Oryctolagus cuniculus: one gene and its partners. The protein of the gene in region 2 purifies or fractionates together with the protein of the main gene of each other region. This does not show direct contact. Links are inferred from orthologs where the notes say so. Each region holds a gene or a part of one and is shown on either strand. Other genes may lie near its edges. The genes, in order: ARPC1A, ACTR3B, ARPC5, ARPC3, ARPC5L, ARPC1B and ARPC2.

Region 1 (2,623 bases), on a different chromosome or scaffold from region 2:
CGTTCACCTGTCCTGGGGGCCAGATCTCCCGGCCTCGCCCAGCCACTCTCATCTGGACTCTCACCTGGTAGTAAGATGGTTTGGGTCTTTTCGGAGTTAGATTTCCACAGCCTCATACTGATGGGCAAGTGAATATTTAGGAGTGAACTGGGCCAGGGTTGTGGTGTGGGTTAAGCTGCAGCGTGCAACGCGGCATCTCCTATCAGAGCGCTGGTTCAGGCCTGGCTGCTCTGCTTTGGATCCGGCTTCCTGGTAACAGTGGAGAGTGGCCCAAGCACTGCCACCCATTTGGGGGACCCGGATGGAGTTCCTGGCTCCTGGCTTTGACATGGCCAAGCTGACTTGTGTGTGTGTGTGTGTGTGTGTGTGTGTGTGCTTTCCTTCTCAGCCTTTTGGATGTGTAAACCTTTAAAGAGCATATCCAGGAGTTAAAAGCAGCCCATTCCCTTACATTGCCCGTACACGGTGAGGAAGGCCAGGCTCACTTCCACCACGTGCCGGCAATCTCATTTGCTTTGCTTTCCTTTCAGTCAAGTGTCTATTTATGAGGTGGACAAGCAAGACTGTCGCAAATTTTGCACAACTGGCATCGATGGAGCCATGACAATTTGGGATTTCAAGGTATTTCTGCCTTTCGGAACGAATCTGTTTGTGTTCAGACTCTTCCTATAGAATAATGTTTCTTAGTTCTTGAAATGTTGTCCAACATTGTCAAGATGGAGAAGGAGGAGCCCCTGAGGGTCTTGTCAGGTCAGGGAGCGGTGGAGGGAAGAGTCAGAGCTCCGCAGAGGCCGGCACCCCTGTTTCTGCTGGAGGGAGGTGTCGGGAGGGCGGGACTTGGAGAGTAAACTGATGTGAGCAGGCTCAGAGCATACAGGGCGCTCCCGGCACCGCCCTGGCCTGGGCCCTATGGAGGCACAGGAGCTGGAGGGAGGAGCCAGGCGAGGCCGTGTGTGCAGAGGGCTGCGACTCCTCGGAACCCCAGGAGGAAGAGCAGGCCGCAGGCGAGGGCCCCGGACTGCAGCGCTGAGGACGGGCGCTCCGGCACAGGGCCGCGGCCGGGAGGTTCTAGAGGGCCCAAGAGGAGGGCCCAGTGACAGTCAGGGGCAAATCTGGACTCCGCCCTTTCTCACTGGGACTGCACCTGGTGGGCGAAAGAGGGAACCAGGAGGAAGAGCCAGGGCAAGAGAAAGGTTGGCTCGGGATTTAACTCCTTCCGGTCGTGAACCTCCGAAACAGATGCACACCGACACAGTTTTACCACTGGCTGCGCCTTCCACGGTGATGGACCCCATCCCCGTCTAGCCCAGGCTCGGAGCCTTCAGACGAAGAGCGGGCAGCACCTCCTCCCCTTCCTCCGCTCCTGGGCGGTTGGCACCACCTGGGCAGTTGGCACCCAGCCCCCAACCAGCTCGCCTGTTCCCTCTGACCCATGTGGGCCAGGAGCCATGGAGCATTTCTCCCCTTAATGCACGTGCGGGCTGTACCCAGCTGGCTGCCGTTCGGGCATTTAGTGTGGTGAAGAGGCAGGGCATGCAGCCAGGGGCCCTCGTCCACAAAGGCCAGTGACACAGGACGGGGAGCTAGGCCGGCCCTATGGGCTGGGAAGGCCAAGGGAGAGCCCCGCTGGCGCGGCTCTGCAGGGCGGAGGCGGGGAGGGGCTCAGCCGCGGGGAGTGACCGGCCCCTTCCTGCCTCTCTGCAGACCTTGGAGTCGTCCATCCAGGGCCTCCGGATAATGTGAAGCTGCGCGAGCCTCCGCCATCCAGCATGACCGCTGCGGCTCTGCCATTAGCATGATGGTGAGGAAAGCCAGCCCCGAGGAGACACAGCGCGCAGACCCCGCGAGTGTCTGACTGTAATTGGTGAAAGTGTCGGTTTTTTAAAGCAGCAGTGTTTTTTTTTCTTTCTTTCTTTCTTTCTTTTTTTTTTTTTTTTTTTTTTTTGCGATTTCATTCCATTCTTGACCAAAGCTTCTCTTTAAGTAGTTTATTATGGAAGATTGTCCACTAACTTAAAGGAAAGGGTGAGGGGGGTATGTAAATTGTCCACTAGAAAAGTAAATAAAAATCCTCAATGTGTTCGGTTTTTGTTTGCATTTTTAGTAGGAAAATCTGGTGAACAGGGTGAGGTTCTTCATCAGAGTGAATGTTCATTTATAGGCTGAAGTCTTAGATGTCAGCCTCTTAAACTGCCCGTCCTAGACAGCCTGTGACCAGAGAACCATGGACCGGGAGGGGAGGTCCCCGGGGGCCGTGCCCGTGGCGTCTGAGTAACAGGGCAGCCCGTGGCCCAGAGCGCCCGGCCGGCATGGGGCTCTGGAGTGTGCGAGTGGGAGGGAGGAGCCGCCGAGGGGTTCAGAGGTTGTGGGGCCCAGACTGACCGGGCTCGTCGTCCTCAGCTCTCGTGTGTGGCCCCCAAGGCCGAGTCTTAAGAGGCACAGCATACATGAAGAGCGAAGGACATGCACCGGGCGCTCGTGAGCGCGGCCCTGCCGCCGCCTCCCTGCACGGGTGACCAGGGCGGCGGGGCCGGCGCGCGGGCGGGCTGCCTGCTCTCGGAAGCGGCTCACTTTGCCCTCTTGGTGGCTTCCGGGAAGCCTCCCTTCCTCTAAGAGAGAATCT
Region 2 (4,302 bases):
AATAGTTAAAACATGTGTAAACATACACAAAATAATGAAGTAAATGTTAATAGGTGAAACTAGAAAAGCACAATCATTTTTTGTTCTCTTTCAGTTTTCAATATATTTGAAAGTACTTCAAAATAAATTTTAAAATGCAAAAGTCTTCATTAAAGAAGTACAGTTAAGAGAAGTGATGCTGGACTTGTGGGAAACTGAAAACTATGCCGCCTAGTCATTCCTTTAAATAGATGAACCTTTATTTTTGGATATATCACATCCCTTTTTCTGTATTATACCGGCCCCCGGCACTCGGGCTTTCACCCAGCTGGTCGGTTTATCAGAAACTTGAGGTTACCAGGATGAAACACTGTTTAATACACTGTTATTCAGTACACTGTTATCATTACTTAGGACACTGTTTAATACACTGTTATTCAGTACCCTGTTATCATTACTTAGAACACTGTTTAGCACAAAACATTCTAATAGACATTGTTCAGAGCACTATCCACTAAATCATTAGTGCCCACTATGTATCATTCAATGTCAAATTTTTCTTTTAGCATTTAGTACTAAAAAAACCTTTTCAAATGAGAAACAGGTACTTCTCTTCCTTCCTGATGACGGGAATTACATAACAATGGTTCTTTTGTGATATTATCAGATAGAAAAACCCATGCCAGATGATGACCAACTACAGCAACCAATGGTCTACAGTCTGGGGTGATTTCCCAGGCCCATTCTTTCCCTTGGTTTTGGTTATTTTTATCTGCCATTGCACTGCTTTTTGTCCTATTTTGAGGCAAAAGTCAATCCAAAACCCAATTTAGCTGTCGGGGAAATGTAAGAACTACTAATACATTAAAGTAGGTAACGTTAGGGGCATCCAGGCTGCTCCTGGCCACACAATAGACATGGGCTATTCATGCCTGCTAACTGCAGCAGTTTCCATGACAGAATTATGTCCATGGGAAACCCACTGGGAAGACTCCCTAACACAGTTTCTAGGTCTCAACACCAAAGCCTACAACAACTGAAGCATGTGTCACAAAACAAAGATCTATTGAGGCCCAATGTCCCAGTGAGCAGTTACATTTATCACCTACCTCAAAAGATCTAAACTGAGCACATTTCAGATATTTATAGCAAGAATGAGTAAGGCCCCCAGCTTACTAACGTCAAAGGTATGACAAACTCTGTGAGCATTATTTGACTGCTACAAAACAAGAAATGCTTCGTTATTTCAATAGCTTTTGCCAGACCAAAAATACAAAAGCAAAAGCCTCACATGCAAATGTGACATTGGAAAATACTTCTACATGTTGCCTTCACCCATAACACAGCCAGGCCAGAGGGGCGCAGGGTGAACAATGAAACTGGAGGGAGGAGAAGAGTTAGGTCCTCAACAACTGGAGGGAGAACTGTAACATAATACTGATTCTGGCTTGTGTTTTGAGTATTAAAGCAATTTCTAAAAACTAAAAAGCCAAAAAACTTCTAGTACAATATTTCAAAAAGAAAAACTGGCACAAACAAAAAGGCCACAATTTTTCCCTGGCCCGGAACCACCACTGGTGGCTTGAGCAGCAAAGGCAAAGAACTATCAGTAGGAGATGGACTGTAGCAAATTAAAGACGACACCCCCACAAGGTTGTCAGGGAAACCAAACCAAGTGCATCTTTCTACACAACAGAATCAAGGGTAGGGAGACTGAGCCATGAAATATTCTGTGGCAAAACGATTAAACTCTCTTCTCAAAAAAAAAAAAAAAAAAAAAAAATCTTTCAGAGGCTACATTTATGTCCGGGCTATTAAGTACTAAACCCACAATGCAAGCAAGCAAGCTTGTATTCCCAAACTATCAGCAATCATCTCGCTGAAAATCAGCGACTGGAAATACAAGACATTCCCTGAAGTCCGTTCTAAATAGCTTGACACCCCAAGAAGCCATCACATCCCTAAAAGACCAACCTATACCACAAACAGGTTTTCCCAAATCTACACTGCTTTTCCAAAATGGAGTCTTTTCAAACATCTTGTGTAAACAAAAAGGCAAGTCTCCGCAAAACTAAAAGCAAGACGTTATACTGAGTGTGCCCTTTCACCCTGGAAAAGAGCAGAGTGGGCATTACACAGGCTGTCGGAGTTGGCAGATCAATGTAAATATCTCCACAAGTAGGCGGCAAAAAGCATGGGCCAGGAGAAATGACACGCGCCTGAGGGCACAGAACCAAGGCCAGCAAACATCAGAGGGCAGGGGCAACGTTAGCCGGCAGGTAAGTGACGTTAAAAAAAAACACACCCGCAGTGATGGGTGCCCCAGAGGCACTCCAGCAAGGTGAGATGCGGCTGACCTCGGATTCCCGACAGGGTGTCCATCCCGGAGGCCGGCGCGGGGCTGCGCGCCCAGGGCACCCTCCCGCCGGGCCACGTGAGAAGGGGACAGGCCAGGAGAAGTGGGCACACGGACTGGACACTACGTCCCTCCCCCTCAGTCACCTTCTTCTCGTGGCCCTTCCCAAAAGGGACATCACAGCATCAGGGCTAAGCCTGATGGGAGCGGCGGGGGCCGCGCGGAGACCCCGGAGGCAGTGACCCCACTGTCAGTGCCCAGTCATGGGTCCCTGAGTTCCGGAGCGGCGAGCGCAACTCGACCACCAGGTGAGGGCAAGGTGCCCGGGGCCGGGAGCGGGTCCGCGGAGGAGCGGGGGTAGACGCCGAGCGGGTCTTACCCGGTGCCACAGTCCACCACGCAGGGAGGCAGGGAGCCCGCCATGGTCTGGACGCGCGGCGCTCAGGCGCCGGCCGCACCGCTGCCAGCTCACCTGCGTGCCGCCTCTCCAGCGAGCCTCCGCAGCGCCGCCGCCGGGAGCCCGGATGCTCCGTGGCCGCCACGTGACGCCACCCCCGGACTAGCCAATCGGAACGCGCGAGCCCCGCCCCCTTCACTCGCCATCTTTGGTGCTGGCAGCGAAGCTTTTAAGCCCATACGTCCAACCTTCAGGCTGGAGAGGCTGGGGGTTATTTTTAACTGACCTGCGGTTAACGTGACCCTGTTTCCAAGGCATGACTCCTTGCTCATCCTTTAAGTCTCAGCTAAATTGTCACCTTCTCAGGGAAGTTGTCCCCGATCACCCAAACTAGGTCCCCTCCCCACACTTTAGTCTCTGTCTCTACCATCTCATTCTTGGAAGCAAATTTTTTTAATATTTATTTATTTGTAATCTATCTTTCCACTGGCCAGTAGGCTGTGCTGGGAAAGGGTTCCAGTCTGACTATTGTTGATGGATGCATAACACAGTATTGAGTGCAAACATGGAAAACACCCAAGTGAATGAGTGAATAATTTTCACCATATAGAGAAAAAATATTACAATTATCATATCTGGCAGAGCACTGCACAATTTATTCTAAGAAGAAAAATCTGGAAGACAAATGCATGGCTAACCTTAAGGAATGAATGACCTCAGACTGAGATAATACCGTACCTTTAGTATTACTGGAAACTACTTTCAAGTATCAAAGACAAGATCATTATCCAAAACTTCTTAGGGAAATCAGAGACTGAAGAAGGCAAAACCTACCCACCATGCTATAAAGGTACCAAATGTCCCACTGCTGCCAACTTCTTGTCCTATTATAAATTCTTAGCATTAATTTTTAGGGAGTTTTCTAGAAAGACACGTGTTTCATAACTTTTTTTTCTCTAGGAAAACAGTAGATGTGTTGATAATTCCAGTTTAACCATTATCATTTTTTTTCTTACATGTTTGAGTTAAATAAAGCCCAGATGTAAAAAATGTTCAGGAGAAGAGAAGAGAAGAGGAGTGGAGAAGAGGGGAAGGCAGGAGAGAGGAGGGGAGAGAGAAGGAGGAGAGGGGAGGGGAGAAGAAAAGAATAAGGGTGGCACTGTGGTGTAGAGGGTAAAGCCACCACCTGTGATACCAGCATCCCATTTGGACACCAGTTGGGGTCCTGACTGCTCCACTCCAATCCAGCTCCCTGCTAATGCTCCTGGGAAAGCAGTGGAAGATGACCCAAGTCCTTGGGCCCTTACATCCACGTGGGAGACCTAGAAGCTCCTGGCACCTAGATTTGGTCTGGCCAGCCCTGGCCATTGCAGCCATTTGGGAAGTGAACCATTGGATAGAAAATTTCTCTGTCTCTCCCTCTCCCTATAACTCTGCCTTTCAAATAAATAAATAAATCTTTATATTAAAAAAAGAAGAAGAAGGGCCGATGCTGTGGCGTAGCAGGTAAAGCCGTTGCCTGCAGTGCCGGCATCCCACATGGCCACCGGTTCGAGTCCCAGCCACTCCA
Region 3 (4,368 bases), on a different chromosome or scaffold from region 2:
CGATCGGCAAACAATTCCAGAGGCCGCCCTACATCCCCCCGGCTGCTCCTCAGGCCGACGTGCACCCAACACGGCCCCAGTCTCCAAGGATTACCTAAGCGAGACCCCCTGGAGGGACAGGCGCGCAGGACGCGGGAGGCCCCGGCTCCGCCATCTTCCCTGCCATTTCCACCCGGCAGCGCCTCCCAGGTTCAGTTTCCTCTTGCGGAAAATCTTGATGAAAAAGAAAAAAGTACAGTCAGCTTGGGCATCTGAAGAAGCACTGCCTATGCCTGCGCTAAAGTCAGCAGGAAACACCAAAATACACCGTTCTTACATAACGCCAGTCGCCGCAGCAACAAGGCCAGCAGGTGGCCCGCAGTGCCCACTGTGTCACCTGGGTAGCCGGTGACAGCCCTGGGGGGAAAAGGCCAGCTGGCCGACTCCTCACTCAAACGCCACCCCCCTCCCATTCCCCAGCTTTCTTGCGCGCAGAACTTGGCCAAGTCCGTGGGAATAGGAAAACACTGATTTTACTGCAAGGAGGCTTTGAAGCCCACGCGCGGGTCTCCTGTCACACGCAGCCTCCGTGAGCTGTGTGCGGGACTCTGGCTAGGCGTGGATCTCAGGCTACTGCCCCGCACCGCTGCCCAGGAGCTCTGCGAGGGGCCGAGAGTACCCGCGTAGGTCTCCCCCGGCCTCTGCGCCCCTCTCTCTCCCCGCGCTGCCCGCCGCACCACGCACGCGCTGGGCACCTTCTGCGTGCGGGCTCCGCGTGGGGGGGGGGGGGGCGCGAGGCCGGCGTCACGGGTAACACGCGTTTTCCACACGCGTGGCGCGTCTGCTCCAGGAGGCATCGGGTAATGAGTGGGAGGGCCCGGCCGCGAGACGGGAGGCGCACACGCAGGGCGCGCTCCGCCCTCCGAGGTCCCGAAACGCGCCCCAAAAACACGAGTGGCGGGGCCGGGTCCCCTCAGCGCCGGGAGCCCACGCGCCCCCGCCCCGAACGCCCGCACCGCGAGCCCCGCAGGCTCACCCCCGGCTCTGCCGCCCAGCCCGGCCCCTGCCCCGCCGCCGACCGACGGAGGCCGAGTGGGTCGGGGTCCGCTCGCGGGGCGGCCGCGCGTGCGGCTCAGTCCGGGGACCCCGCGGGCCGCGCGGCGACTGCAGCCCGGGGAGCGGCCCCGGCGGCGTCCGGGAGGCGCGGGAGGATGCGGGCGCCCGGACACGCATCCCTCCGCCCCTCGGTCCTGCCGACAAGAGGGCCGCAGCGCGCCCGGCCCTCACGCGGGGCCGCGGAGACAGCTGACTGGAAAGCCCCGGCTACCCCGCCGCCGCCCACCTGAGACCCGTTAGGCTGGACCGCAGGCCCGCGTTTCTAAGGGAACCCGCGTCACGTGACGCGCGCGAGCGCCCAATCGCGTCTCGCCACCGCCCGCCGCGCCCCGCCCCGCGGCGGAGAGTCGCGCCTGCGCGCCGAGGGGGCGGGCGCCGGCCTCGCGCATGCGCGGAGCCCCCGAGCCGCGCGGCCGGCCACGCCCCGGGGCGGAAGCGGGAAGTGAGTCGGCAGCGGCGGCTCGCAGCGGTCGGGGGGGCGCCGCGGAGGCTCGAGGGCGGCGGGCGGCGGCGATGTCGAAGAACACGGTGTCGTCGGCGCGGTTCCGGAAGGTGGACGTGGATGAGTACGACGAGAACAAGTTCGTGGACGAGGAAGACGGCGGCGACGGCCAGGCGGGGCCGGACGAGGGCGAGGTGGACTCGTGCCTGCGGCAATATCCTTGCGGCGGGGGTGTGCGTGGGTGTGCGTGGAGCCCCGGGAGTGCGCGGAGCCGGCAGGCGGACGCCGAGCCCCCGGGAGTGCGTGGAGTCTCTGGGAGTGCGCGGAGCCCCGGGAGTAGGTGGAGCCCCGGGAGTGCGTGGAGCCCCGGGAGTGCGGGCCGGGCGTTCGCGGGAAGCCGCTGTCCGGCGGTGCCTGCTGCCCTGGGCGTGTCTGAGCAGCTGTGACCGGGTCCGCGTTTGCACCGGATCCGTGGGGGACACGGGGGCGCTGGCAGGAGCCGCCGCGGCGCCCGCGTGCTCGGGCTGTCCGCGCCCCGCGGCGGTGCGTGGGGACCGCTCGGGCCCGCGTCCTGCCGTGGCGGCCGTGTGAGGGCCTGGGGCTGTGCAGCCTGGACCCCGCGGCGCCGTGGGCCCGCTGGGTGGGCCCCGGAAGCCAGAGGCCGGCTGCAGCGATGGCGAGGGAGGGGCGGCGGCCGGGGCTTCTCCTTTTAGGGGAATGGCTGTGCCTGCCGCCGGCCTGATTGGCCCGCTTCCTTGCCTGCTCCCTGCTCCCTGGCGCCTTCGCGGACTGCTAGGTGTGGCCTCCAGGAAATGGAGCCGTCCACCGTCCACCCGAGAGCCGGGGCGTCGCCGCGCAGCGAGGCCGAGGTGTGTCTTTGTGCGCCCACGTAGCGCCGCGGGAGATGGCGGCTTCCCGGAGACCTGAGGGCGTGGGATCCTGACGTGCGTTTCGGGTCTCGGCACCTCTGCAGTCTGCCGAAGGTGTCCCGTGAGGGCAGCGTTACCAGGCGATCTCTGATGGTGCGAACCAAAAATAGCCCCCCAGTGCGCTGTTACCTTTGGTCGGCACCCCGAGGGCGTTTCTGAGTCCCGAGAAGCACCGGTCCCAGGGGCTGGCCGCTGCCCTCGGCTGCCCCCGGCTGCCCCCGCTGTTGCCCCTTAACCGCCAGCACAGGGAACATGACAGCCGCCCTGCAGGCGGCGCTGAAGAACCCTCCCATCAACACCAGGAGCCAGGCGGTGAAGGTGAGTGCCACCCACCCGGCCACACAACCGGCCGGCCAGCTGGGGACCGTCCGACACAGGAGGGCTCAGGGCGCGCTTTGATGGGGCTGGAAACGGCGGCCAGCCCAGCAGCCCGCTGCTCCACTTCCGTCCAGCCCCCTGCTGAGGGCCCAGCGCAGAGGGTGGCCCCAGGGCTTGGGCCCCTGCTCCCACACGGGAGACCAGGGAGAAGCTCCGGCTTCAGATGGGTCCAGCTGCGGCTCTTGCCGCCATTCGGGGAGGGAGCCAGCGGGTGGAAGATCTCTCTCCCTCTCTCCCTGCCTTTCAAACAAATAGACCTTTTTAAAAAAAGAAAAAGAAGATTTAAGAAAACAGCACCCTGGCCGACTTCGGAGAACGCGTGTTCTGGACGCGGGAAGTTCTGCGTGGGGGGGGGGAACCATTCCTGTGGCGTTCAGAGGGCCCTCGGGCTGGATCTAGGCAAAGGCTTTGAGACAAAAAACTGGCACAAAAACGAACAGGTTCCATAGGCCAGGCGCGGCACTTAGCTGTCAACGTCCAGGCCCTGGCTCCTGCTGACGGTCACCCTAGGAGGCCGCTGATGGCCACAGCGCCTGGCTTTGTCCCACCCCAGTGCCAGCAGATGGGACTTCTCTCTGTGCCCCTCTCTCCGTCTCTCTCTTGCTTAGTTATATGAATATTCAGCAGAAGCCAGGCAGTGGTAAAAGTGACTACCTTCTGGGGCTACCCTATGTTCATAGGATTTTTCTGTGAGTGTTTTTTCGAGGAGAAGCTTTATAGCTTCGCTCCTCTGTGTAGCGATGGACGTGAGTGTTTTCCTTAGCAGCAGGTTTGTTTCTGTAGCGTTGACCAGCTCTGCGCTGCAGAACCTACGCACCTAGTCTCCTCTTGTCACATACCTGGATGGAGTGGCTCTTCCCTGGTGAAGTTCCCAGCTGAGCACATTCTCGTGGCTGATCCTTGGAATGGACTCCAGAGTGAATTGCTGGCTGCAGCCGTGTCCCTTTGCGTCTTCCGTCCCCTGCAGCCGTGTTTCACTAAATAAGAACCGGTCTCTCGGGTGCTTAGTGGTTAGAACCAAGTCCAGCGCATCACCCCCAGGGCGGTGGCTACTCAGAGCCTCAGGAGTCTCCCTAATTAAATGAAAGTTGGCAGGAACAGGTAGATGCATGTGAATTGTCGAGGCGACGGTTTTTTTAAGGGGAAGCGTTGCTTTGGGTTTAGAAGTTGCCGGGAGCATTACTGAAATTTCCGTTTCGACACCTTCTGCTTTCGTGTGGGTGGTTTCATCACGGCCTGGGGGCGGCAGCTTGTAGCTGATGAAGATGGCTGTGTGAGTGGGGCAGCTGCACGGGCCGAGCTGCAGGGAGCAGTAGGCGGGAGAAACGTCCTGTAAGAACCCGGACGCGAGGCGGCCCCAGGGGCCGCTTTGTGTGACAGGGGAGGCGGGCGCTCCTTAGGAGTCCCTGTGTGTGACGGGAGGAGGTGACCTTAGATGTGCTGTGTGTGACAGGGGAGGTGACCTTAGATGTGCTGTGTGTGACAGGGGAGGAGGTGACCTTAGATGTGCTGTGTGTGACAGGG
Region 4 (4,141 bases), on a different chromosome or scaffold from region 2:
CTGCCCAAGATGAGGTAGGGTGGGGAGAAGCAGGGCTGGCAACAGTGATGTGCTGGGGCCGGCTGCTTCCGGCTCAAGCAAGTCAATCACTAGGGGCAGGCATTCAGTCTGGAAGTTAGGATATCCGCGGCCCACAGCACAACGCCAAGTTTGACTCCCAGCCCCTGATGCCAGCTTTCTTGCCAATGCAGACCCTGGGAGGCAGTGGTGATGGCTCAAGTGATCGGGTCGCTGCCAGCCATGTGGGAGACCAGGCCTGTGTTCCTGTGCCCAGGCGTTAGCCACAGCAAAGCCCTGGCCATCGTGGGCAGATGGGAGTGCTGTGTGTGTCTCTTTATCTCTCAAACAGAAGAAAACCAACTTAATGGTGCAAGCTGGTTATTAAACAGTCATTCCCAAACATTTAAACCCGTTTGTGGTGCAGTGGGTTAAGCTGCTGACTGCAGTGCTGGCATCCCACGTGGGCACCGGTTTGAGTCCCAGCTGCTCCACTTCCAATGCAGCTCCCTCCGATGCTCACGGAGTTCCAAGCTCCTGGCTTCGGCCATGAACCAGGGGATGGAGATCTGTTTGTCTCTGTCACTTACTCTCTTTCTGTAACTTTCCCTTTCTTTTTTTTTTTTTTTTTTGACAGGTAGAGTTATAGACAGTGAGAGAGACAGACAGAAAGGTCTTCTTTCTGTTGGTTCACTCCCCAAATGGCCACTATGGCCGGCACCACGCTGATCCGAAGCCAGGAGCCAGGTGCTTCTGGTCTCCCATGGGGTGCAGGGGCCCAAGCACTTGGTCCATCCTCCACTGCCCCCCCCCGCCCCGGGCCACAACAGAAAACTGGACTGGAAGAGGAACAACCAGGACTAGAACCTGGCGCCCATATGGGATGCCGGCGCCACAGGTGGAAGATTAATCAAGTGAGCCACGGTGCCGGCCCCCGTTACTCTTCCTTTCAAATAAATAAAAACTTTAAATTATATAACCTTACAATTATATTTATTAAAAAAACAAAGGTATATGTTCTCATCATCTCCTAATTTTCAAATTACATTTACCACTGTCTATGTTCTTAAGGCTCTATCTGTGTTACGTTTATGGTAGAAATACAAATACTGCAACACTGTGACACTGTGCATCTCTCCTGTTCCATGGTTAGTGACAGCACAGGGGTGGTGGGTGGGAGTATTTCCACACGGACATAAGCAAACACCATCTAAATCAGGGGTAGCTACCCCCAGCTGCATTTAAACCAGAACCCAAGCTCCAGCTTTTCAGATCTGCTCTCTCCTGGGTTTATGTCTTTCACCAAGACACCACTTTTTTCTCTCAGCCTGTTTCCAAATTTGCAAAATGAGACATATTCTGCCTCCTGTGGGTCAGTGAGTTAAGAGACAGAGAAAAGTCACATTTATGAGAACGGTTTGTATGCCGATTCCTGGTTCTGCTTTTTACAAGACGGCTGGCTTTCTGTAAGACAACACGGGCCCCAACCATGTGTTCACTGGTTCACCAGCCACGCGCACATGTAGCAGGGTGCTATGGCAACACACCAGAACACGGTCCTTGGGATTAAAGAATTCCCAGGCTAATGGATCCAGATAAAATGAGCAATCACAGGGTAAGTCCAGGGCGCTCTATGGGCAACTGGACTGCACACAGGGCTTCAGAGTCCACGGCCGGGGCCCTGCAGGAGCTGCTAACTTCTCTGTGACAGAAACAATGGTATCTGCCTTGCAGGGTCAGTGACGAGGGGCACACGGGAGCGTCTACACAGCGTGTGGCTCGGCTCCGCCTAGCAGTCCCCAGGAGTCAATGCTACCTATGCGATTCGTGAAACATTATCTATGACAACAGCCGGTTCTTTTCCCGGACAGGTATGCGTTATCTGGAGCAGCAACGGTCTCGATCCACCTGCTTCACGGCGTTTGTCACCACCTGAAAATACTCCTTTCACTCATGGGCACCTGAGTGCTGGCCTTGGCGGCTGCCACAGCCATCAGCTTGCAGGTATCCCACGCGCCGCAGGGCCACCGTGCTCCTACCCCGCAACCGGGGGCCCACACACAACCGCACGGCCTGTTTCCACCCCCACTCTGATGCTTCCATCTGGAAACCAGCTGCGGACCCTGGGTCGGCTCCGAGGGCCCCAGGCCCCCTGGCCCCGGCGGGGGTGGCAGGGAGGAGTGGAGGAAGCGGGGTCAGGCGGGGTCGGGCGGGGACACGCCCCCTGCGGCGGAGGAGGAAGTGGGCTTGACTGGGTGCGGGGGCGAAGGAGAAGCTGGACCCTGAAACATGAAAAGCACAGCCCTGGGTTCGGGGCTCGAAAAAGCCTCTGGGTACCCTGCCCGCGTCCGGGAGCGGAGGGGCGAGGGGGCGCCGCCACCGGGGACTACCGGGCAGGACGCGCCGCGGCGGCTTCCTCCCGCGTCGGGGCCGTGGCCCACTCCTGCCCCGCAGTCGACCCCGGCGGACAGCAGCCCCAGGCCCCCCAGACCTCAGGGACCAACCCCTCCCTTCGCCAGCCGCCCGCTTCCGGCCTGCCCTGCCAGGCACGCATCTCCCGTCGCACGCACGACTTCCCGCTGTCTCCCGCACACTCTGGGCTCACACTTACCGGCATCTTGGCAGCCCCGGGGTTTCAACCGAGAGGTGCAGGTCCGGGTTAGAGCGCGGCGCTTCCGGTGTGGGAACCAGGGCGCGGTAGGCGGAAGTGAGCCGGAAGGGGCGGGCAAAGGCAGAACAAGGAACTTCCGGCCTCCCAATCCCTCCGCAGGTGGCCGTGGCTGCGCGCTCCTGAAGAGGCGCTAGAGGGCGCCCGAGCACTAGGCAGCGGATCTGCGTGTCGCGCATGCGTGGATCTTGGTAACAGAATTTGATAGTCGCATCCTTTGTTTTTCCTTAAAGCTCATCTTTCCAGTGGAGCATTCCCTGATCACACTCCACCTCCCGGCCTCTCTCGCTTTTCCCTTAGTTCTTAGGATCCCCTTACTTTTGGTACAGAAAGGGAGGGTTTTTTGCTCGGCTCACTGCTGTATCCCCTGCGCCTACAGTCAGGGTATGCAGCAAGCCTCCAAGGACTGTGTCTCCAAGGACTGTGTCGAGCGAATGAATGAAGCCAAATCACGGCTTTTTTTTTTTTTTTTACAGGCAGAGTGGACACTGAGACAGAGAGAAAGGTCTTCCTTTGCCGTTGGTTCACCCTCCAATGGCTGCTACAGTCGGCGCACCGCGCTGATCCGATGGCAGGAGCCAGGTACTTCTCCTGGTCTCCCATGGGGTGCAGGGCCCAAGCACTTGGGCCATCCTCCACTGCACTCCCGGGCCACAGTAGAGAGCTGGCCTGGAAGAGGTGCAACCGGGACAGAATCCGGCGCCACGACCGGGACTAGAACCCGGTGTGCCGGTGCCGCATGGTGGAGGATTAGCCTAGTGAGCCGCGGCGCGGGCCAAAATCATGGCTTTTACAAATGGGGGACCCGGACACAGGAGAGAAGGGATTTGCATGTCACTCTGCACTGCGATTCTTCGCGCAGCGGCTGAAGAAGTGGACAGTGGGTTTTGGTCCTGTTTCCAACATCTGCGATCTGTGCGATTTCCACTTGCAAACGGAGGCAGCAGTACTTACCGTGTAAGCTCTGGGAGGATGCAAGGAGCCGAAAGCGCTGAGTGTACAAGCCGGGAGCGTACGGACAGCTCGGGTTTGTCTCACCCATTCATGGGAAAAGCCCATTTCTCCTGCCAGTGTCCCACACTGAAGAACCCTGCCCCGCGGCCCGACGTGATTTCTCCACTGAGGAGAGGCCAAGCACCCCTTAGTCACTCTCCATTTCACTCGGTTTTCTTCCTGTCCCTCAGCACAAGTTTCATTGTTCCTGGTCTCACCCACCAGGCCATCAGCCCTGAGCCGCCTCTTTCTACCCCCGGGGCCTGGCACCCACAAACCGCTGTACGTTTGTGCGAAGTCACATCAGGCTCACCGGGAGGCGGTGAAACCCCAGGACTGAACTGTCGGGTTCATCTTCGCAGCTCAGTGGGCAGAGGGTGAGGCAGCGGAATGTGGCCCTTCCCAGCGTGCCCACAGCACATACCAGATTCTAGAAGCTAAACGAAGGGCGTGCAGCCCGAGGGCAGTCAAAATGCGCCTCTT
Region 5 (4,305 bases), on a different chromosome or scaffold from region 2:
TCCCTCTGTAACTCTGCCTTTCAAATAAATAAATTTATTTATTTGAAAGGCAGAGTTACAGAGAGGGAGACAGATCTTCCATCTGCTGGTTCACTCCCCAAATGGCTGCAACAGCCAGGGCTGGGCCACGCCACAACCAGGGGCTTCAGTGTGTGTGCAGGGCCTAAGCATTTGGGCCATCCCTGCTGTTTTCCCAGGGACGGTAGCAGGCAGCTGGATCGGAAGTGGAGCAGCCAGGACATGAACCAGTGCCCGTGTGGGATGTCGGCTTCCCCCACTACACCACGCCGGCCCCTCAAGTCCCTTATCAGGATAGTCTGCGGATACAAACTTCTGCTGTCACGCGGCCTTCCTGAGTCAGAAAACTTCCCAAGTATAGAGTTGAAATGCAAGAGGGCTTTGCCTGCCACGGACGAGAAAAAAGAGAGGACATGCCCCGGTTCACTCCCCACACGCCAGCAAGGCCCAAGCCTGCAGCCAGGAACTCACTCGGGGCTCCCAGGTGGGTGGCAGGGGCCGGCTGCCTCCCAGGGTGCACACAGCCGGAAGCTGAAAGTGGGGGCAGAGCCGGGACTCAGGCTCCAATAAGGGATGACTCCAATATGGGATGCAGGCTTCCTGCCGGCTAGGCCCAACACCAGCGGCCCCGGCAGCATTTTTATCTGCAGACACAGTTGAATGAGAAGTATTCAACAAATCATATGTGAAACACGAACTTTAGCCTAAGGCTGAAGTCAGTTAACAGAATCTCTCCGGCAGCAGCCCAGGCTGGAACCCGACCCTGCCGCTGCCCTGCCGCCCAGCCCCCCAGCTCAGACTCTGGGAATGCCGCTCCCGGCGCGCAGGGCCCACGTCCCGGCCCTCCGGCCAACGACGGTAGCCCCAGGGCCATCTCCTCCTGGCGGCACGAAGTCGCCGCACCCTCAAATCAAAAGGGCTCCAGAGTCGTCAACCCCTGGACGCGCTCTGCTTCATAACGGGGTCACCTGCTCTGGCTCAGTGCAGTGCGTTCGAGGCCCCCTCCCAGCAGAGCCGCGCGCGCTCCGTCCGGGGAGTGATGACCCCTGGACTCCGCGGCGCCCTTCCCTGGGAAGGAGCTCCTCGGAGAGAGAAGAACCAGAGAGCGAGCGCAGCTATGGCGCACACGGCGTTAAGCCTGCGCGGGCACGAGGCATCCACACCCCGAGACGTGCAGACAGAGCCGACGAGGCACGAGGAGACCATCCGTGACACCGCCGCGCCGGCACGCCTCCACTCCCCTAGGCCGCGCCCTCCTTTGCGCACTTCCGGTTCCGGCGCAGACCGGAAGTGGGCGGGCCGGCGGCTGCGCGCGGAGGAGGTGGAGGCGGTGCCCGGCGGCCGCTTCCCACCCCCGAGCCGGAGCCGGTGCCGAGCGGAGCGGAGCCGAGGTCGGTCCGGGAGCGGAGCCGGCTGAGCGACGCCGAGCTCCCACCATGGCCCGGAACACCCTGTCTTCGCGCTTCCGCCGGGTGGATATCGACGAGTTCGACGAGAACAAATTCGTGGACGAGCAGGAGGAGGCGGCGGCGGCGGCGGGAGAGCCAGGCCCGGACCCTAGCGAGGTGGACGGGCTCCTGCGGCAATATCCTTCCCCGGCGGGGCGGTCCGGCCTCCGCGCGCGCTGCGGCCTGGGCTCCTCTCTGGTGCGGCCGCTCCAGTTCCCTCATGCCGGGCTCGGGCTCCCGCTGCCCTTCCTGTCGGTCCCGGCCGGTCAGTCTGTCTCCCTTCCGACCCGGCTCCCCTCTGCGCCGGGCCGCACCGCAGCAGCTCAGCCCTGGGCCTTGGGGCACAGCTCTCGGCGGCCCCAAAGCTACGGCGACCGCGCCTCGGGCCCAGGCCCCTCGCCCCCCATCGCTCCCTCCGGCTCTTGCGGGAGATCGGGCGGCTGCAGGGGCCGTCGGGGCCTGGGCCTCCCCGGTTGCCCGCACACCTTGTGAGTAGGCGGCGGAGGGCGGGGAGGCTGGGCAGACCCAGCGGGGAATGAGGGCTGCAGCCCGGGGCGGCCTGGGGTCCGAGGCCGTGCGCTCCTGCTCCCGAGTCGGCCGGCCCCTCTGCACGCCAGCCTTGCGCACCCGTTCCCATTTCCTCGGAGCGCCTTGGGCCCTGCACCTGCACGCTCCCGGCCGCGCTTCCCGAGGGAATTTGCCGGTCCGCAGGGGCAAGAGCGGCTGGTGTCGAGCTGAGAAGCAGCGCACGGCGCATGCGAGGTGCAAGGAGGCCCAGGGCTGGACAAGGCTGTCCGTGGCCGCAGAAAGCAGGCGGCTAGGGAAGATTAAAAATAGAGGTGATTGGCGCAGCCTGCCTGGGCCCGCCGCAGTCCGAGCACGGGAAACCGGCTCGCTGGGGCGGGCGGGATTTGCCTGTGCAGACGGTGGCAGAGGAAGTGCGTGCCCCTCCCCCGCCCCTGCCGGGCCGGGGCTGGAGGCTGCCGCCGCCGGGTGGAGGTCAGATGCCCCGCGTTGAGTCAGTTGACTCAGCTTGGAGGCCCCACTGCCTTCGGGAGGAGTTCTGCGCTCCAGCCCTCTGTTTGAACTAGAATGGGTTCCAAAGGTGGAGGCTCCAACCTGTATTTCCTGCCTGGCTCACCCTGCTGGGGCAGTGGGGCCGGGGAGGGGCCCCCGGGAGGGCCTGCTGGCGGCGGGGCCGCCGGCCGCAGCGCGCGAGCCCAAGGCCTGGGCAGCTGACGCCGACCTTGCTGTGCAGGGACTTGCTGAAGGGCGCCTCTCGCTCGGCCCCTGCCTGGTTTGGGTTCCTCGGGCTGCTTGGAGGCCTAGGGTCCGCTGCTCCTGGAGGGTGTGCCTCTGGGGTCAGGGGTCAGGGAGCGGGAGGTGAGCGAGTGAGGACTGAAATCCTGGGGCCCAGCTGGCGGGAGGAAAGAGCTAATGTTTATTGAGTCCTACCCTGTACCAAGTATTGGACTTTAGATAGCTGGATGTAAGCTGTAGAGTTTCTTTCTTTCTTTGTAAGTATTCATTCATTCATTTGAAGGCAGTAGATGTTTTTTTTTCCGCTGGTTCACTCCCAAATGGCTGCAATGGCCAGAGCTGGCCTGGTCCGGAGCCAGGAGCCAGGAGCTTCAGCTGGGTCTCCCACGTGGGAGCAGGGGCCCAAGCACTCGGGCCATCTTCTTCTGCTTTCCCAGGCACAGCAGAGAGCTGGAGCACGCAGTGGCCTCACCTGCTGTGCCACAGCGCTGGGGCAGAGGGGAGGGTTGCAGAGGGAGAGGTTACTTGACTGGGGGGAAGGGGCTGCCCGTCCTAGGGCTGTACAGGAAATGTGATGGTGGGAGGCGCCCAGGAGAGGTGGAGGACCACGGCTGTGCGTGCACACAGACCAGTTCCGCGCCGCTGCGGCTGTGTGACCTCGCACAGGCACACACCTGCCAGCCTCTGCTGCCGCCTGTTCATGGAAGGCAGCCTGCTGGGTGCTCAGCACACGACCTGGACCTGAGCGGCAGCGAGGGATTGTGGGAAGCGCTTGGGTCTGGAGGCGAGCTGGACGGCTGGACCTCGCCACCCTCCAGCAGCTTCATGGCCTTTGAAACCAGAATAGCCTTGCTGGGAGGGGTTTTCCCCGGGATGAGCCGCCGTGCGAAAGCCCCTGGCGGGTCCGCGGAGTATCAGTTCCCTTTCTTCCTGGGCCGCCTGTTGAGAGCAGTGGTTTGGTTCTCTGAGAGGGCCTCAAGCCTGCGGGGTGCAGACACCAGCTTCCCAGGGGCGCCCTCCCTGCTGCTCCCGGCTGCTGCAGGCCTTCCCTCGACAGCCTGGTGCCACTGAGGGTGCTAACAGGCCCCCGCCCACCCCTCTCCCCCGACCGGCCTTTGCCTACCGTCTCCGGACGATTGGGTTTGCCAGGAGGGCAGGCTTCAGTGAAAAGCATGCGGGCCTGTGTTCCTGTCAGCCCGGGACCCCAGGTTAGAGAAGAGGGGCAGAGCTCATCAGCGCTGCTGGCCTAGGGACCCTGGTTAGGCTGGGGGGGGACTGCAGAGCTGAAGTGCAGGGGCTGGGTCGCCGCCCAGTCTGAAGGCAGCGGGGCGCAGGAGGCCCAGCCCTGTCTGGGGGCTCCGTTCTCAGGGGGCCTCGCCGCACGGCGCAGCAGACACCTGGTCGGGCCTGGTGCTATTTCTGAAGCTTGTGGCTGAAGCCAGTGTTTCACATGATGTAACTCGGTTTAAAATAGGTGTCGCCTTTGGGGACTTAACCCAGATTGTCATTTTCTTTTGCATGCTGGGTATTGGCAAAGAATGTGGTATCAGGATTGCCACTGAGGTTTGGGCGGGGCAGA
Region 6 (4,317 bases), on a different chromosome or scaffold from region 2:
GGAGGGGACTCTGACCGCTTGTGGGGTTTCCCTGGACACCTGACTCAGATGAACTGAAGGTGGTCTTGGGAGGGAGGACCGACGGTGTCCCCCTCCCCTGCCACTGACAGTCACTATCAGGGGCTCCTCGGATACCTGAATCTCTGGAGGACCAGCAGTGCCCCCTCTGCCCCCACCAACAGTTACCGGGGGGACTCCTCTGATCTCGGAGACGGGCACCCACAGCTCCCATGCGAGGATGGACACACGTCCCTCTTATGGCCACGGAGACGCAAGGGAGATTGTGCCAAGCAGCCTTCCCGCCTGGCTTCCTGCTGCTTGGGCCAGCGCCCTGCCCTGCTTGCCTGCCGGCAACCTGGCCATCGTCGTCCCGTGACCAGGAGGAGGCCGCCCGGCTGCAGCTCAGCCAGCCCTGAAACCTGAGCAAGGGGGCGGGGCGTCTCCACCGCAGCCATCCCGCGGAAGCCGGTTCCAGGAAGCAGCAGCTCTCTCTCCGGTCCCCAGGCTCCGCTAACCTGGGGGAGGGGGGTGCTGAGGGGATGCGGCCCAGGGCTCCCCAGTGTGAGGTCCGTGTCCCGTCCCCAGGCCCCTCGGCCTCACCTTAGGGACGTGGAAATGGGCACGGCTGCAGTGGCAGGACCAGGATCGACTGCCCAGTCGCTCATCCCCGCACACTCCCGCATGCCAGGCGCCAGACACCCTGAGGTCCATGTTCCTAAGTAGGAGGTGGGCTTTTGAGGATGGGCAGCAGAGGAAAAACAAACAGCCCTCAAGCCAGCTTTAAAGCAAAGCAGGTCACCCGGGAAGCGGACCTGAGCCTGGGCTGCGGGCTGGGCTCAGGCTGACCTGTTTTCTGTGGGATTCCCGCAGCCGGGGGCCGGGCTTGGATGGGGTCGTCCCAGGTCCCAGGTCCCAGGTCCCAGGTCCAGGAAGGAGGCGGGGGACAACGTGGGATGAGCAGCCCTTGTTTGAACAAACCTGCGGGAGCAGCGAGCTGGGGGCCCCGGCTAAGGACCCCCGCTCCGCGCCGGGAGCAATGGCCCTCCTGGAAAGCCCGGGCGCCCCCACGCGCTCGGACACGGCGAGTCCTCCCAGCCCCGCGGACGCGTGGAACGCAGCGTGCCCGGGGCTGAGTGGCCCGAGGGGCACGGCCACACCCTGCAGCGCGGAGCCCTGCCGCCCCGCTGACCGGGGGCTGGAGCGGCCCGAGCCGGCGCCGGGGAGCGCGGTCCCCCCGCCCCTGGGCCTCCCCCGCCTTGCCCCGGGAGGGCGGCACCGGCGCCGTCTACACCCGCGAAGGGGCGGCGCCCGCGGCCGGGGACCGAGTCTGTGGGGGTCCTCCTGCCCTGGCAGGTGGGGGCAGTCGCCCCTCGCCCCCAGCCTCAGTTTCCCCTTCCGGAGCTGCGCCGGGCGCGCCGGGCGCCGACGTCCGCCCCTCTACCCCGAGGGCTGGGCGGGCCCTCGCCTCCCGCGACCGCCGTCGCCCCGGGTCCCCGCCCCCGGCCCTGGGGCTCGGCCCCGAGGCCCCGCCCCCCGCCCACGAGGAAGTGGCTGCGGCGCGGCGCGGGGCGCAGAGCCGGCTCGGCGCGTCGACTGCCCAGAGTCCGCGGCCGCGGCGCCCCGAGGTGAGGGGCTCGGGCTGGGGCGGGGGCGCGGGGGCCGCCCGCAGGTGGGGCGCGCGGGGGCGGAGGGGGCCCGGAGGTGCGGGGCGCGGGCGGCGGTGGGCGAGGGGCGCGCTGAGCCGGCTGTGCGCCCCGGGAGCGCTCGGGGGGGGGGGGCTCCGGCCCGCGTGCGCCGCCCCGCCGCGCGCCCCCTCCGGCCCGGCCTCGCCGCCGCCGCGGTGGCCCCGTTACTTGGGGCCGGCGGGCCCCCTGCCCAGTCACTTCCCCCGAGCCTTCCGGGTTGCGGCGGCCGGGAAATGAGCTGGCGCCCACGCCCAGCCGCACCCGCCCCGCCCGCGGGGTCCCAGGCTGCGGGGTCCCAGGCTGCGCCGCTCTGAGCTGCGGGGCGCCCGGAGCCGTGCGGCGCCTCCCTTGCTGGAGGGGCGCACCCGGGGGCAGTGGCCGCGGAAGCCACGGCTCCCGGAAGTCAGGCGCACCCGTGGCTTTTTAAGTCTCAGAGACACTGGGTAAAAATGTCCGCTTTACGGACCGCTGACCTAGGCTTGGCGAGCCTCAACATGCCCCATCTGGAAAATGGGCACCTTACGAGGTCTCATAAGACAGCTGGCGACGGGCCGGGCACAGGCGGACAACAAATGGGTGCTATTGTGGCCGGTGTAAAGCCGGCCCAGGGTGGCCAGTGAGTCTGCCCAGGTGGCCCTGACCTCCTGACCGCTGGGGTTTGGAGCTGGCGCCCTCAGCTGTGCCATTCCCAAGCTGCGGTCTCAGTCTGTTTCCTCCTGTGGCTAAGCAGAGGGAGAACGGGTCGGGCTAGCCCGGGGCTGTGTACCGCTGGCCGGGCTGGGGAGGGCAGTGGGCTTGGTCGTGTGGCCAGGGGTCTGTTCCGAGAGTTGCGCTCCTCGCCCGGTCACATCACAGCGCACCGTGGCCTTGTCCCCCGTGACGCTCAGGGTGACCCCGTGTGCAGAAGGCCGCGCCCGAGTGGGTGCGGGTGAGCGGGGTGCTGCCCGTGTCCAGCGATGCTTTCTGTACAGCCGCGCCAGCACTGGGTGTTCCGTGTGTCTTAGCTCTGGGTGGGTGACGCGCGCTGGTGCGTTACGGTGTCTTGTGACTGTTGTGTGACCGTCCCGTGTCCCTGGACTCTGCCTTCGCTTGTAAGGATTCTAGAGCCGAGGAGGGGAGGAGCCCCCGGGGGGCTGCTGCACGGAGTTGAGCAACCGCCTAGCGCGGAGCGCAGTGGCTCTGAGCACTCCGCTGGGCGGGGACTTCCCGGAGCGCCTGCTTGGTTTGGCCTGGGATGCAGCCTAGAGTCTCTGGGCTGAGCGCAAAGCCAGGCGAGGAGGGGCTGCCCGCGGGGGCCCTGGCCGGCCACCCCTTCCCCCGTCATTTCTGGAGAAGCTCCCCTCGCCGGGGGGGGGGGGGGTTGCCCCACCAGGAATACCCCACCAGCCCCTGCCCTGTGAGCTAAGCTGTGTCCCCCCATTCTGGCACTCCTGGACGGAAGCCCTGGCCCCACCCTGCAGACCCAAGCCCGCCCGCCCCGGCCCCTGCTGCGGAGAGCTCTGGCCTCCCTGCTCCGCCCCCACGCCATCCCTGGGTCCCTTGCTGGGCGTGGGCTGCGTGGGCTGCGCTCCTGGGAGTGCGGGATGGTGAGGCTCTGCGGGAGCCAGTGGGGGAGTGTGTCAGGGACTGGGCCCCTGGCCCTGCCCCCCGCTGGTTGCACTTGGCCTCTGGGGGCTGGGGTGGGCACAGCCTTGAAAGAGCCCCCCCCCTCTAGTTCAGCAGCCAAGGAGGCCATGGTGATGTGTGGCTGGGAGTCCTGGGGGCCACGGCCACCACCAGCCTTTGCCTCCCACGGCGCCACGGCTGAGTGCTGATGCCGTGGGCACAGCCCCAGCTGCATTCTTGCAGTAGGGGGCTGGCAGCGGGCGGGCCTGCCCCACCCGGCCCCTGTGCCGTGTCCTAGGCTTAGGGGACTTCTTGAGAAGGAGTGAGTCGTGGGCAGAGTGGCGGGGCTTGGGGGCTGCTTCCCAGGTCTGTCTGGAGCCCCCGCTCAGCCCTCTGACTCCCACTTCCTCCTTAGTCCAAGCTGCAGCCGGGGCGTCATCGCTGAGCCCCCGCGGGAGCCACCCACATGGGGAAGTGGACCGTTCCTCTCTGCCACCCCCTTGTCTCTGCCCTGCCCATTTAAGGGGTGGGTTCTGTTTCAGTTCCTGCCGCAGTGTGATTGGCACATAGGCTCCCCCTGAACCTCCTGCCCCCACTGAGAACCTGTGTGTGCCAGGAATTGGGGGACAGTGCTCCCCAAGTCCTCTCGGCTGCATCCCCCACGGGGACCTGCGGCTGTGCTCCGTCCTCACGGCCTGGGGCACACGGCGTGTGTGAGAGCCGAGGCCCTGACACTGGGATCTGCCCCCCGAGTCTGGGCTCCACCAGCCCCCCAGTTCCTGCTTCCTGGGCTGTGGTTGCGGGCTGGGGTGGGATGGGGGAGGGTTAGCCTCCTCCGGGCCCTGGCCGGATGTCACAGTGTTGCAGGTGGGCTTCCGGCCTTGGCCTGCTTCTGCCCGGGGTGGTGACCTTGGCAGTGGGGGTGGGGCGGGCGAGCATGGTCACCCCTCCCCTGTGCCCTGTCCCCTTTGTGAGCAGCCATTGCCCGGCCCAGGGTACCCAGCAGCCTGCTGGGCTGGCCAAGGGT
Region 7 (4,052 bases), on a different chromosome or scaffold from region 2:
CAGCATTGTGGTATAGTGAGAAGAGGGTAAAGCCACAGTTTGAGACACCAGTATCCCATACGGGCACTGGTTCAAGTCCCATCTGCTCCGCTGTCCATCCAGCTCCCTGCTAATGTTCCTGGGGAAAAAGCAGAAGATGGCCCAAGTCCTTGGACCCCTGCACCCTCGTGGGAGACCCAGATGAAGCTCCTGGCACCTGGCTTCAGCCTGGCCCAGCCCTCGCTGTTGTGGCCATTTGGGGAGTGAACAAGCAGATGGAAAATCTCTCTCTCTCAAACTGTCTTTCAAATTAATAAACAAATCTGTAAAAAGAAATCTATTTTTAAAAGCTGTCTACCCCTTGACGATAAAGGCTGGATCTTTGCTCATTTTTTGGATCCAGTCCCGTCCCTACCCCACCCCACTCACCCCACCCCGCACCAGCACATAACTGAAAAAAACCATTGATGTAGAAGGGACTCAACTAAGCTTGTTACACTTCCTCTGGAGGAGGACAAATGCAAATCAAGGCACACAGGCAGAAGGTGCAGACGTGGTGTAAGGATCAGTTCAGATTCCGCAGGCAGATGAGTAGGAGCTATGTCTCCCGCGGGGGCACTGAAAGGTGAGGGTTGGAGGCAGAGAAAATTATGTTCTGCGCATCCAGGGGCAGCCCCTGGCACGGAAATGGAGGCAGCACAGGGGTCCAGGGAGGCCCATCTGAACTGCCTGTTAACCGAGGTGACTATGCATCCCTTTCCTTCGGTGCCTTTAAACAACATAACTGATCATTTGTTCATTGTGTTTCCTTTACCACAGTATAAGCTCCACGAGGGCAGGACCCTGTCTACCGTGTTCACTTCCGCATTCGCGGCTCAGGACAAGAGCCCACCATCTGTTGGGGAAATGAACGCACGATGGTGCGACGGACTGCCACCCGTCTGGAATGAGGAGGAGCCTCCACGACGCACAGGCCGACAGCAAAGAATCCTGCCGCGAGATAAGAGCGAGCTTCTTGCAGGACCCCTGACATGACAGAACCGGAAGAGTGGATTTGGAACTCTGGGACAAGCGGGAGGCAAGTTCCGGGAAGGACCGCTCGGTGGCTCGCGGAGACTTGATGGGGCGGGGGTGGGGCGCTTCAGTGGGAAAGTAAAGCGGTAGGAGGCCTTGCGCATGCGCAAGTGTGACCGCCTCGCCCCACCCCGGGCGCGCCTGCGTGCGCGTGCACGAGGGAGCCGGAGCGGAAATGGCGCCGCGGGGCCGCGCGTCCGGGCGGCGAGCGGAAGTGGGTGTGAGAGCGGAAGTGGCCGGCTAGAGCCGGGGGCTGGGCGGGGACCGGGCTTGTCGGTGAGGCGGCAGCGGTGGCGGCGGCGGCTCGGCAGGCGGGTTGAGGCTTCTGGGGCCAGGTCTGTCGGGTGGGTGGGTGTCTCCACAGTCCGTGCGTGCGCGGGCCGGCGCGCGTCCTCCCCTTCTCTCCACCCCGGCCCCTCTCCCCTCTCCCCTTCTCCCGTCACCTACCCCACCCAGCCCCCCTTCTCAGGGGGCACAGGGCCGCTCCCTGCGTCCTTTCCTCCTTTACCCACCCTGACCCGCCCTTGTTTCTCCTTCCCCTGTCCGGGGCAGCCGCCGCCATGATCCTGCTGGAGGTGAACAACCGCATCATCGAGGAGACGCTCGCTCTCAAGTTCGAGAACGCGGCCGCCGGGTGAGCGCGCGCCCCGGGGCTGGGGTTTGGGGCGGCGTGGAAGGCAGAGTTGACCCCCGCTAGTCCCCGGTGCTGTCCAGCTTCCCCCCCGGGCCTGGCGGAGGGAGTTGGGAGGCCTGGCAGTGTGTAGGGGCTGCCCCGGCGGAGAGACGTGGGAGGCGATTGGGCGCGGCGGGTGAGGGGCAGGGATGCGTGGGGTGAGGCTCGGAGGAGGGATGCGGAAGCTGCGAGTGGACCGGAGTGTGCGTGCCGAGGGCCAGGGGACCTGTGGGACGTGAGGGCAGCTCGGGCCGGAACTGGAGCCCGAGGAGCCCACTGCCCTCCGTGTCCCCGTCATTGTTCTGAACCCGGAGAGAGCCGGTTTGCGACTGGGCTGGAAGGAGTTTTCAGGAATTCCCAGGACTGGAGGAGGGAAGAAGATGCAAGCCTAGATCGCCACCGGCGTTCTCCATCCCGCCCCCACCCCTAAAGGGAGCCCGAGGGGGGACGGAAAGCAGACCCAGCCTTGCAGCCATCTCCCTAGCTTCCCTTCCCGAACCCTCCTGCGAGCGACAGGGGCCGTTCTGTTACACATGTCTCAAGCACAGCTAATAGTCCTGCACCCACACCCTTTCCTTATCTCTTCCAAGAGTGTCGGGCTCTCTCTGCAGCCTGCACCCCGCACACCCCGCAGCCTTTATCTGCCTGTTGGCCTTTTAAATTCTCATACAAGACCCCTGGGCTGTGATTTCTTCTGTGGCAATCCTTGGCCGGTTACACACTTCACTGCTTCCAGAATCTATGAAGTTCTTAGATAACCTCTTTTTTACCGTTGTCTGTGAAAGACGGGCTTTGATTTCCAAGGCAGCCTTCACTGTCAGAGAGCAGAATCAGTGGAAGACGATCAGCCGCCTCCCCCAGAGCACCTTTAAAACATGAGCCAAGGACTTGAATTCTAGCTTCGAATTTTTGGTGGCCTGTGGTCAGTCCCTTTGCCTCATTTCCGCATCCGGGACGATGGGGCTTCACATCTTGGTTGCACAGTTGAGGAAATAAGTACAAACTCTTTTTGGTGAACTGGGAACCAGTAATAGGAAAGTAAATGCTTGGAGAGCCACAGATGGGACAGGATTGGTGGAAGGGAAATTTAAGTGGTCATAATGAACTTGTGACTTGGGAGGTTTTTTGTTTGTTTGTTTTTTGTTTTTTTTTTTGTTTGTTTTTTGAGTACTGGCTCACTGCTTAAATTGAATGGATTGTGGTTCCCATCTCTTTTTTGTAAGAACACGAACTACTTTCCTTGGAAGCAGTGCATACAGTGAGCTGAACGGTTTCCTGCCAGGGCCTGCCTGCAGTTGCTGATATTTCAGGTTAACTCAGTTCTTACTCTCAGCCCCTCTTACCAGTTCTTTGCATTTTAAATACTCAAGTGACTCAGTCCGGGATCTCATTTTGGGTGATTGCTCTGTGCTTTTTCTGAGCAGTGCACTGCACATAGGAGGAAGTTGACTTCACTTCTGCATTTTCACAACTGATCTCAATGCATTCTCAAGTCCAGACTGGCCAGGAATGAGACCTGGGTGGTTATGAGCTGATCTGCAAGATAAATGGCTGTGTGTCTGCAAGTAGAAACATGCCTTTTAGTGTAAGAGTACTTTCACATCTATTTGTGTATTAATAACCTGTGATTCCAAAATGTGTGGCCCATTCAGAACTTCAGTTCTTTCTTATAATTATTTTCAAAATAGCAGTTAATCATTTCAGAGGGATTAAAATGGCCCTCAATTTGGAAGGCATAGATTAGAGCTTGCAGGACTTTTTTAATAGACAGACATTGGTGGTGAGGTTGTATGGGGGCAAGGGTTGGGGTTGGCTTTTATTCCAGCCCATCTCCCCTTTGAGATCTGGCTTTCAATACAAGAGCCCAGACCATTCTGTGGAAAGTTTCGTTGAATCTTTTGAAAAGAGGCCGAGATACTCTGTGATACTCATGCCTAGGAGGTCGGGCATTCCTGGGGTTGCAAGTACAACGCCAGCAGAACACGGTGCAGCAGAGTGTGTTCCCAGGCACCCGTAAGAGGAGGCAGCAACGAAGCTGTGTTTGTCAGGGTGCTGCCCACGAGCTCAGCCCAGGGTGGCGGGGGCGACCATCATGAACACATGGGATTCTACCAGCGCTCAGCACCAGGCAGCAACTGATGCGGCGGGAGGTCTTTCTAAGAGAGCACATTAGCAACAGAGCTAAGAGGTGCAGACATTAAAGAAAGGTAATAGCTTGGAGGAGAGCCGTGGGGGATTTAAAAGGCTTTGCCATTGTGGGAACCTGCTGAAAGAGGTCTGTTCCACCTGTTTTTTATGCTTCTCAGAAGAAACCAGTTGGGGAAGT

What was found.
Region 1: the proteins of ACTR3B (region 2) and ARPC1A purify together in Homo sapiens (affinity purification with mass spectrometry; 5 studies listed by BioGRID and IntAct, counting the BioPlex papers as one, with this or other methods). This does not show direct contact. The link is inferred for Oryctolagus cuniculus from reciprocal best matches to the Homo sapiens genes ACTR3B and ARPC1A.
Region 3: the proteins of ACTR3B (region 2) and ARPC5 purify together in Homo sapiens (affinity purification with mass spectrometry; 5 studies listed by BioGRID and IntAct, counting the BioPlex papers as one, with this or other methods). This does not show direct contact. The link is inferred for Oryctolagus cuniculus from reciprocal best matches to the Homo sapiens genes ACTR3B and ARPC5.
Region 4: the proteins of ACTR3B (region 2) and ARPC3 purify together in Homo sapiens (affinity purification with mass spectrometry; 6 studies listed by BioGRID and IntAct, counting the BioPlex papers as one, with this or other methods). This does not show direct contact. The link is inferred for Oryctolagus cuniculus from reciprocal best matches to the Homo sapiens genes ACTR3B and ARPC3.
Region 5: the proteins of ACTR3B (region 2) and ARPC5L purify together in Homo sapiens (affinity purification with mass spectrometry; 3 studies listed by BioGRID and IntAct, counting the BioPlex papers as one, with this or other methods). This does not show direct contact. The link is inferred for Oryctolagus cuniculus from reciprocal best matches to the Homo sapiens genes ACTR3B and ARPC5L.
Region 6: the proteins of ACTR3B (region 2) and ARPC1B purify together in Homo sapiens (affinity purification with mass spectrometry; 5 studies listed by BioGRID and IntAct, counting the BioPlex papers as one, with this or other methods). This does not show direct contact. The link is inferred for Oryctolagus cuniculus from reciprocal best matches to the Homo sapiens genes ACTR3B and ARPC1B.
Region 7: the proteins of ACTR3B (region 2) and ARPC2 purify together in Homo sapiens (affinity purification with mass spectrometry; 6 studies listed by BioGRID and IntAct, counting the BioPlex papers as one, with this or other methods). This does not show direct contact. The link is inferred for Oryctolagus cuniculus from reciprocal best matches to the Homo sapiens genes ACTR3B and ARPC2.

The regions. Positions count from the first base shown.
Region 1 is NC_091450.1:41,600,055-41,602,677, forward strand, and holds the end of ARPC1A (actin-related protein 2/3 complex subunit 1A), read left to right. Parts: intron 1-530; coding exon 531-621; intron 622-1,702; exon of another isoform or gene 1,703-1,704; coding exon 1,705-1,743; 3' UTR 1,744-2,080; downstream 2,081-2,623. UniProt on the Homo sapiens protein: Probably functions as a component of the Arp2/3 complex which is involved in regulation of actin polymerization and together with an activating nucleation-promoting factor (NPF) mediates the formation of branched actin networks.
Region 2 is NC_091438.1:21,155,740-21,160,041, forward strand, and holds the start of ACTR3B (actin-related protein 3B), read right to left. Parts: upstream 2,873-4,302; 5' UTR 2,759-2,872; coding exon 2,715-2,758; intron 1-2,714. UniProt on the Homo sapiens protein: Plays a role in the organization of the actin cytoskeleton.
Region 3 is NC_091444.1:1,522,888-1,527,255, reverse strand, and holds the start of ARPC5 (actin-related protein 2/3 complex subunit 5), read left to right. Parts: upstream 1-1,507; 5' UTR 1,508-1,608; coding exon 1,609-1,751; intron 1,752-2,702; coding exon 2,703-2,784; intron 2,785-4,368. UniProt on the Homo sapiens protein: Component of the Arp2/3 complex, a multiprotein complex that mediates actin polymerization upon stimulation by nucleation-promoting factor (NPF).
Region 4 is NC_091452.1:8,116,144-8,120,284, forward strand, and holds the start of ARPC3 (actin-related protein 2/3 complex subunit 3), read right to left. Parts: upstream 2,825-4,141; 5' UTR 2,615-2,824; coding exon 2,609-2,614; intron 1-2,608. UniProt on the Homo sapiens protein: Component of the Arp2/3 complex, a multiprotein complex that mediates actin polymerization upon stimulation by nucleation-promoting factor (NPF).
Region 5 is NC_091432.1:228,720,592-228,724,896, forward strand, and holds the start of ARPC5L (actin-related protein 2/3 complex subunit 5-like protein), read left to right. Parts: upstream 1-1,454; coding exon 1,455-1,603; intron 1,604-4,305. UniProt on the Homo sapiens protein: May function as component of the Arp2/3 complex which is involved in regulation of actin polymerization and together with an activating nucleation-promoting factor (NPF) mediates the formation of branched actin networks.
Region 6 is NC_091450.1:41,604,656-41,608,972, forward strand, and holds the start of ARPC1B (actin-related protein 2/3 complex subunit 1B), read left to right. Parts: upstream 1-1,492; 5' UTR 1,493-1,625; intron 1,626-4,317. UniProt on the Homo sapiens protein: Component of the Arp2/3 complex, a multiprotein complex that mediates actin polymerization upon stimulation by nucleation-promoting factor (NPF).
Region 7 is NC_091434.1:21,132,564-21,136,615, reverse strand, and holds the start of ARPC2 (actin-related protein 2/3 complex subunit 2), read left to right. Parts: upstream 1-1,205; 5' UTR 1,206-1,388; intron 1,389-1,605; 5' UTR 1,606-1,613; coding exon 1,614-1,687; intron 1,688-1,694; exon of another isoform or gene 1,695-3,036; intron 3,037-3,150; exon of another isoform or gene 3,151-3,933; intron 3,934-4,052. UniProt on the Homo sapiens protein: Actin-binding component of the Arp2/3 complex, a multiprotein complex that mediates actin polymerization upon stimulation by nucleation-promoting factor (NPF).